Linked DNA regions of Coturnix japonica. The protein of the gene in region 1 purifies or fractionates together with the protein of each later gene. This does not show direct contact. Links are inferred from orthologs where the notes say so. Each region holds a gene or a part of one and is shown on either strand. Other genes may lie near its edges.

What was found.
Region 2: the proteins of VPS4A (region 1) and ZFYVE19 purify together in Homo sapiens (affinity purification with mass spectrometry; 3 studies listed by BioGRID and IntAct, counting the BioPlex papers as one, with this or other methods). This does not show direct contact. The link is inferred for Coturnix japonica from reciprocal best matches to the Homo sapiens genes VPS4A and ZFYVE19.

Annotation. Positions count from the first base shown.
Region 1 is NC_029526.1:16,878,244-16,882,496, forward strand, and holds the start of VPS4A (vacuolar protein sorting-associated protein 4A), read left to right. Parts: upstream 1-1,443; 5' UTR 1,444-1,555; coding exon 1,556-1,576; intron 1,577-1,696; coding exon 1,697-1,808; intron 1,809-1,876; coding exon 1,877-2,024; intron 2,025-2,100; coding exon 2,101-2,162; intron 2,163-2,277; coding exon 2,278-2,397; intron 2,398-2,602; coding exon 2,603-2,759; intron 2,760-2,994; coding exon 2,995-3,143; intron 3,144-3,274; coding exon 3,275-3,356; intron 3,357-3,496; coding exon 3,497-3,716; intron 3,717-3,792; coding exon 3,793-3,933; intron 3,934-4,214; coding exon 4,215-4,253. UniProt on the Homo sapiens protein: Involved in late steps of the endosomal multivesicular bodies (MVB) pathway. Recognizes membrane-associated ESCRT-III assemblies and catalyzes their disassembly, possibly in combination with membrane fission.
Region 2 is NC_029520.1:21,663,311-21,667,643, forward strand, and holds the start of ZFYVE19 (abscission/NoCut checkpoint regulator), read left to right. Parts: upstream 1-1,315; 5' UTR 1,316-1,389; coding exon 1,390-1,443; intron 1,444-1,570; coding exon 1,571-1,692; intron 1,693-2,689; coding exon 2,690-2,743; intron 2,744-3,322; coding exon 3,323-3,483; intron 3,484-4,333. UniProt on the Homo sapiens protein: Key regulator of abscission step in cytokinesis: part of the cytokinesis checkpoint, a process required to delay abscission to prevent both premature resolution of intercellular chromosome bridges and accumulation of DNA damage.

The DNA.
Region 1 (4,253 bases):
GCCGGGGAAACATGGAGCCCCCACCGCTGCCTGCCTCTCCGGTGCCTTGGGGTGGGGGCTCCTCTTCTGTGGCTCAGGGGGAGCTCAGCGTTATCCCCCGTCCCCAAAAGCCATCTCTGATCTCACCACCTGTGCCTTGCGGCGGGGCCGCTGCTCCCCCCAGGGGCTTCACTGCGTGTTCCTCCCCCAGGTGGGACCATGTTGGGCATCATTTGTCCCCCCTGGGAGACTTGTCTTAAAAATGTGGGCACTGGGGGCACTCTGGGACCTGGCGCTGTGGTGCCGGTATGGGCAGGGGGCTCAGTCCCTGCCGTGCTGCGATCACAGGGCGGGTGCTCCCCAAGCTCTCAGAGTCTGCAAACGAGCGCTGTTCCCTCCTGGGCTGGGGGCACAGCGGGACCCCTCTGGGCCTCGTGGCTTTGGGGAGGGATACGTAGATCGATGCACTTTTGCTTTTTGTACTTTACCTCTGCCCCTGGCAGGGGATGGTGCTGCTGGGGGATCCGCTGCGCCCCGGCCCAACTCCTCTGCAAACGTTTCTGCTTCCCACGGGCTGTGCCGGGAGGGCCTGGGCTGCAGAGTCCCCACCCAGCACAGCCCTTCTATTTTTGTACTCTTTGTAAATCGCTATTTATACAGACTGGTCATGTGTGGGGTTTGTGATCGGCACTGCGGGGAGCGGCCGTGGGGGGCTGTGATCCATGGGCTGTGATTGATCTATGGGCTGTGATTGATCCATGGGCTGTTATTGATCCATGGGCTGTGATTGATCTATGGGCTGTGATTGATCCATGGGCTGTGATTGATCCATGGGCTGTGGGCCCTGTGGGTGGTGGGTGCTGTGTGTATGTGGGTTGTTTTTTTGCTGTGGGTGCTGTCTGTGCTGCACATATACACATACATACACACACATACACACACACACACACATGCTGCACACACACTCACTGTTCATGCTGTCTTTGCATAGATGCCTGCAGGAATACACACACGTGTGCTGTTTATATGCTGTTTTGTGGTTGCACTGTGTATGGTCCGCAGTGTGTGTACATGGACACACCTGTATACATGGATCCATCTATATACATACGTACGTGTGCACACACGTTGCACACGCAGTTCGGGCTGTGCACAGACAGCAGCTCTGCATTGCATACAGTGAGCAGAGCAGCAGGTAGCGCACACACACACACACACACACACACACACATATATGTGTATGTACCCCCGCAGTCTGTGAGGTGTGTGTGCACTGTGAGCCCACACAGCGCCGTGTTGGCGCAGAGCCGCGATCTCGGCCGTTCACATCCCGCTGCTCCCGGTGCAGCCCCGCGCACCGACCCACGCCACGCTCACACCGACTCGCGGAGCGCGCTGTGCGCATGCGCGTGCCGTCCAACGTAGGCCCCGCCCGCCCCCTGCAGTACCGGAGGGCGCCGCCAGGGGGCGCCGTGTCGGCCGCGCACAGCCGCAGTCGGGCCGGTCCCGCGGGCCCCCGCCGCCGCCGCCGGGCCGGGTCGGGTCGCTGCGGCTGCGGCCGCCACCGGGCGATGAGATGACAACGACCACCCTGCAGGTACCGGCACCGCCCACCGGCACCGGCCGCCAACCGCCCCGCCGGGCCGCCATGGGTGGGCCCGGACAGGCCGAGCGGGGCGGGGCCGGGCCGGGCTCAGGGCGCCGCGTCCCCCCTTAGAAAGCGATCGACCTGGTGACCAAAGCCACCGAGGAGGACAAGGCCAAGAACTACGAGGAGGCGCTGCGGCTGTACCAGCACGGCGTGGAGTACTTCCTGCACGCCATCAAATGTGAGCGGGGACGGGGGGGGCGCGGGGCAACGGGGCAACGGGGCTGACGGCCCGGAATGTCCGTGTAGATGAGGCGCACAGCGACAAGGCCAAGGAGAGCATCAGAGCCAAGTGCAAGCAGTACCTGGACAGGGCCGAGAAGCTGAAGGACTATCTGCGCAGCAAGGAGAAGCAGGGCAAGAGGCCGGTCAAGGAGGCGCAGAACGACACCAAGGGGTGAGTGGGGGCCGCCAACATCCGGCAGGGCCCGGGGTACGGGAGCTGTGACCGCAGCCCTGTGATCTGTGTCCAGCAGCGACAGCGACAGCGAGGGGGAGAACCCGGAGAAGAAGAAACTGCAGGAGCAGCTGATGGGTGAGGGGCCAAGGGGGCACTGCTGGGATTGTGCCTTGTGCCGTGGGGTCAGCCTGGCTGCGTGGGGTTTGGTGGGGCACAGCCGTGGGCTGCAGCTCTCGTCTCTGCCCCACAGGTGCCATCATGATGGAGAAGCCCAACGTGCGGTGGAGCGACGTGGCCGGGCTGGAGGGAGCCAAGGAGGCCCTGAAGGAAGCCGTGATCCTGCCCATCAAGTTCCCACACTTGTTTACTGGTGAGAGTCACTGGCAGCTCCAAGGCTGCTGCTCAGCCGTGGAGAGGGGCCTCATGTCCCACAGGGGGTGGCAGCTGTGCTGGAGGTGTGTGTGCAGGGAGGTGACCCAGAGCAGAAGGGATGCACGTCCCTTCTGTCCCGAGGTCCCTGTGCAGATCCAGTCTGTGCAGTGCAGGACAAGCTGTGACGCTGGGCTCTGTCGCAGGGAAGCGCACGCCCTGGCGAGGGATCCTGCTCTTCGGGCCTCCTGGTACTGGGAAGTCCTACTTGGCCAAGGCTGTGGCCACCGAGGCCAACAACTCCACTTTCTTCTCCGTGTCATCCTCGGACCTGCTGTCAAAGTGGCTGGGAGAGAGCGAGAAGTAAGGTGTCACCAGGGCTGTGGGCTGGCCCAGGGATGGCTGCCCAGGGGGTGGCTGCTCTCCACGCACCACATTCCCTTCCTTGGTGCCAGCACAGGGCTCCAGGGTAGGCAGGGCAGGAGGAAGCTGTGGTGTGTAGGGCTCGTGCCCTTCTGCAGTGGGTGGGCAGTGTGGAGCTGTGGGTCCTTGCCTGGGGTCCTGGGCGGGGGCACCCACCCCTTGCCTTTGTGCCCAGGCTAGTGAAGAACCTCTTTGAGCTGGCGAGGCAGCACAAACCCTCCATCATCTTCATCGATGAGGTGGACTCACTGTGCGGCTCCCGAAATGAGAATGAGAGCGAGGCAGCCCGGCGCATCAAGACCGAGTTCCTGGTGCAGATGCAGGGTGAGTGGGGCTTCCCTTGGCCACATGAGCTGCCCAGGGCGTGCAAACCCTTTGGGTAGGGAACATGGGGTGGGTGAAGCAGTGATCCCCTTTGGGGATGGCTCTCAAGTCCCTGCTGTTTCCCTGCACAGGTGTGGGCAACAGCAGTGATGGGATCCTGGTGCTCGGTGCCACCAACATCCCCTGGGTGCTGGACTCAGCCATCAGGAGGAGGTGAGCAGGACATGATCCCTCTGCAGTGCCCCAAAGCACAGCACTGCACTGCACTGAATATGGCTGTGAGATTTGGCAGTGTGGGGTCAGCCTGTTGTTGGACACAGCCGCTCACCCATGGCCACCTGTGCCACACTCAGGTTTGAGAAGCGTATTTACATCCCCCTACCTGAGGAGGCAGCCCGGGCCCAGATGTTCAAACTGCACCTGGGCAACACCCCCCACTCTCTGACAGAGGTTGACATCCACGAGCTGGCACGGAAGACAGATGGCTACTCAGGGGCTGACATCAGCATCATTGTGCGGGATGCCCTGATGCAGCCTGTCCGCAAGGTGCAGTCAGCGACGCACTTCAAGAAGGTGAGTTGGGAGCCAGGAGCTGTGCTGCTGAGTGGGGGGCACTGAGGCTGTTACAGCACTACCTGCCTTGTACCAGGTCCGCGGCCCCTCCCGCACCAACCCCAGCCTTGTGGTGGATGACCTCCTGACGCCGTGCTCGCCTGGGGACGTGGGTGCCACCGAGATGAGCTGGATGGAGGTTCCCAGTGACAAGCTGATGGAGCCCATCGTCTGCATGGTGAGTGGGGCTGCCAACCGCAGTTTCAGCTGCTGCATTTGGGCCCATCCCCAGCACAGCAATGCTGCCGCCCCAGCCCTACTGGTTCCCCTGCCTCATCCAGCGCTACCACCTGCCTCAGGGCCTAGTGCAGGCACGTGGCAGCTGGGTGCTGGTGTCCTCCCGAGCCCCCCTGCGGGCAGCTCCTGCCCAGCGGCATCACCATAGGGATGTGTGTGTCCCCAGCGTGCTGCCATCCCCCCAGCCTCCACATCTGAGCTGCCACCTGCTCTGTATTGCAGTCGGACATGCTGTGCTCCCTGGCCACCACCCGCCCCACC
Region 2 (4,333 bases), on another chromosome or scaffold:
TCCACTCTCATTTGTTTTGAAAGCACAAATTCAACAGTACTGATGTAGGCTGCATTTAGGAATGCATTTTCTGAAATACATTATTCATAAGTTCTCTCTTTCATAGGAAGAGCTTTTCTTTTTGAAGTCTAACATTTCCACCTTTCATCAGTCATGTTAGGGGTCTTTGTTAACTGCTTTCCTTAATGAACATGCAGGTTTGCTGGAGATTCCACGTGTGTTCCAGACTATCTCCCACTCCCTTCTGCAGATATCAAAAGCTTCAATGTTTCTCCAGCTGTGTTTTGAATTCCTGCTTGCAGACTTCAGTTAAATTTGTTATTTTGCTATAAATTTGCAGCCCAACAAACAGGGAAACGCAACATCTAGAACGTTCTTATACTAACCACTGTTCATTTTCACCTGCCATTAGCTGTGAATATTAAATGGAGGACTCAAACAATTCAGACACCTGCTGTGAGCTTTAGGTACGCTCAATTGCATAGCAGAAGAGGATGTGCATCTAATAGACAATTATCAGCCCACAGTGGGCATTGCCCATGTATAATAATGAGGTAGAGGCCTGCTATTAACATTCAGTTTCTGAGATACATGAATTACTATTCACCAGACAACAGACACCAGGGACACCATGGTCACAGGTTTAGGATTCAAATGTGAGCACTGATTTTGAGAGGCTCTAATCAGAGATCATCACATACTATATACAGCCTGGAAAACCAATATGTAAGGATTTAATCTTAAAAATCAGAGTAACAGCAGTAACGATTACACATGTATAGGTGTATTCCTGTGTATGTACAAGCAGCTGTTACACAACAGGTCTGTGCTCAAACAGCCATTTCCACGAGCTTGTGGAAATGAGATGAGGAGTGTTTGTGTCCAAGATTCCCAACCTTACCTGCCTTGGGACTGTCAGGGTTCCTATCTGGGAGGTGAGTCAGGGCCTTTGAGCAACATGCTCTCTTAATCTGTAAAACCAGGACAGAGATTTGCCAGTCACTTCTATGAGACGAAAGCAGCCTGAAATCAAGCACTACAGAAACACACCCCAAAAATCTACCACTCCTAGGTTTGTTTTTGTTGTTAAAGTGTATTTCCCTGACATAAGTTGAGGCTACAGCACCAAGAAAACAAGAGTAAGGCAGAAAATAAGGGCAAGTTTGGCACGCTGATCGTACAGCTGGTTCCTCACCTGGACGAAAACTGAAACTCAGGTTCCAGATCCAGTTTGGTGACGGTTCGCTGCTTCTGTCACAGCGCCCGTGTTTCAAACGACGCTCCCCGTACCCGCTCCCGTCGGGCCGCGCGCAGACGCGGAGGGGCGGGGTGGTGCCTGCCGGCTGAACGCGGCGCTGCGGAGCGTGGTATGGCGGTGTTGGGAGGGCCATGGAGGGCCGCTGCTACGGGTGTGCCTGCAAGTTCAGCCTCTTCAAGAAGGAGGCAAGTCCGGCCGAGGGGTCGGCGGGGCCGGGCTGGGCCGTCGGTGCGTCCCGTCGCTGTAGCCCGGTGCGGGTCGCGCCGCGCTCCGCCGCTCGGGAGCTGATCCGCCCGCTTCGTGTCCCCGCAGTGCGGCTGCAGGAGCTGCGGGCGCTCCTTCTGCTCGGCCTGCCTGAGCTGCAGCGCCACGGTGCCCCGCTGCGGGAGCGCTCCGCAGAAGGTGTGCAAGCAGTGCCACGGGAAGATCACCGGGTAAGTGCCAGCGGGACTGCATCCTGCCTTTGGTTTTTCCTCCCAGTGTTCGTGGGTAGACCGTGATGGCCCGGCTAGGAGAGGCCAGAATAAGCCCCGCTATTATTTTTGCCGTTTGAAAGGATGATCTTTCAGATGCGTGGTAGTTTGGTAGCCTCTTCCTTCCCTTGTTTGTTTAATATCGGTACTATGGATTTAGAGCAGGAGGAATTCTTCCCTGCGTGGATAGCAGGTAGATAGTGTGTGTTGGCTGTGGTTTTGTAGGCTGCGTGAGTTGGTGTTCTGCACTCACCCAGCTTCCACAGTTGAACCCTTAGAAATGGTTGAACCCTTGAAAATAGTCCAGTGAAGGTGTTGCCCTTGTTTGCCTTTGCCTGTCCTTAGCACAGTGCAGGTAACTGTGCCTTCTAAGAATGAATAAAGTGTGCTAACTACCTTATGTAAGCATAGGTCAGCAGCTTGACACAAACACAGAGAGGCAGAAAACAGTTACACAGGATTGACTGATGTTCAAGTGCCCTAGAAGATGTCGTCACGGTACTGGTGATTACATAATTATTTCTGTAACGTTTTATTTAGCTTCTGCATTATATAATTTTGTGTTTGTTGCTCCTTTCAGGGAGCTGTACTGTATGGAAGCTAATTACCTTGGGAGTCCTACCTAACTGCGCTCTCTGCTTGCTGAACTGGGGCGTGCAGGCTCTGGGAGGCCAAGAGTCTTTCAGCTCCTCCTGGTGTCCAGAGTAAATGAAACAAATTTTGTCCAAATGCAAAACAACAAGAACATAGGACTAGGAATGAAGTCACCTCCTGTCTAAAGCAGCTGTATCATCTTAGTCACTTTCATAAGCTGATCACTATATTAATGGGGTCATGAAAGAACTGTACCAGGTGATCAATACACACGTATTCTGATTCCTCTTGGGCTGAGAGAATAGATGATTGAAGCATTGCTGGAGCCTTGAGTTCAGAGATAACAATGTTTTTTATGTTTCAGACAAGAATCTCAAAGCAGTTCAGCAAAATGGTCACCACCAGAAAACTACAAAAAGTGAGTTACACTTGCTGATCAGCCACCTGTTTCCGCTGTAGGGTAACCTTTCAGACCTTCAGCTCTTAACCCCTGTGTCCTCATAGAGTCCAGCAAAAGAAGGAGGTTGTGATGTGGATGTTTGCTTGTTCAATATTGGATTAAGGATGGGCTTTTTGCTTTGTGGGCTTTTTGGTTTTTTTTTTATTGGTTTTTTTTTTTGTTTGTTTGTTTGGTTTTTTTTGTTTTTTTTTTGGTGGTTGTTTTGGAGGGTGGAAGGAGACACTAATTCTGAATACGCTCACAAACAACAGCCTGTCTGTGTTAATCTTTGACTGATTGTGGTTGGCTTGGAAATAAGTCTGCTGGTGAAATGTTCCTTGTCTCCTCAGAAATGTCACGGCTGCTTCACCTGAGAGTTATGGTTTTCCTTATTCATAGTAGTGCTTCATTGTGCTGGTATGGGAGAGCCTGGTACAGGAATGAGAGGCTTCTTTTCTATGCTGATGTCCTTCAAATAGCTTGTGCTCATAGAGGATGTTTTCAAATCTCAAGATTTAAACCTCTGTTTTCAGTTGTCTTTTTCCATCCCTGTCACAGGCGCGTAGCAGCGTTTGAGGCTAAGCAAAAGCATCTGAAAGGACAACAGAAAGCAGATGCAAAACCACTCAGTCAAGATGACTCCAGATACCGAGGGCTCTCCAAAGAAGATAGAGCTATTGCAGAGAGACTGGAGAAGCTCAGGGAGGAAAGGAAACCCAGTGAGTTTTGGAGGACACCAGAAATTCCCTGGAAGGGAACGCTGCTACTTAAAAAACTATGGGAGGGAAAGGGAAGTGCTGGGCAATCAGTATCTGCCTTCTCTGGGAACTGAAGGCAGTGATGTGATCAGAGCTGCCACAGTGGCCAGGTTCTAGATTAATCTTCCACTTGGGATTTCTCTTGAAATCGCTTCACAGTCCTGGGGCAGTGTCTTACCTATGAAATCACTCCCTTATTTTTCATTGTTTGGTGGTAAAAATCTGTTGGGCACAGTAGCAGCAGAATGGAAGGGGGGGGGGGGGGGGCAAATCATTTTGCAGAAATCATCCTATGTGTTGCTGTGCTGAGTCACAGCAGTACCAGTCTCTGTGGGGTTATACTGTGAATTTTGCCTCACAGAGAACAAAACCAGGCTCTTATCCCAGTCCACAGCTGTCAGATTCTGGAACAGCCTTGGAGTGACTGTTGGAAAGTAAACCTTTAAAAGAACTTGCATATGGTCTCTAAGGGGGAAAAGGCACTCCAAAGTGGTTACCTGATAATGCAGGCAAGTTTTCAGTCTGATGCCTGGGAATATGTTAAAGGATGTGGGAGCAGTGGACTGTACTCCCTAAAGGACATGTGTTTCTCTGCCTGTCCCTCATATCTGTAGTCAGCTGATTGCCAAATGAGGTTACACTAACACTGGTCTTAGGATTGGAAGAATAAACTCAAGAGGAGGCAGTGATTCAGGAGAAAAGGGTGGCAGAGAAATCTGGTTACTGCATGATGACTCTTCCTTTGAGTTAAGGACTGAGGGAGGTTTTTGCGCAGGTGTTTAGATTATGATTCTGGAAAAACAAAAACAAA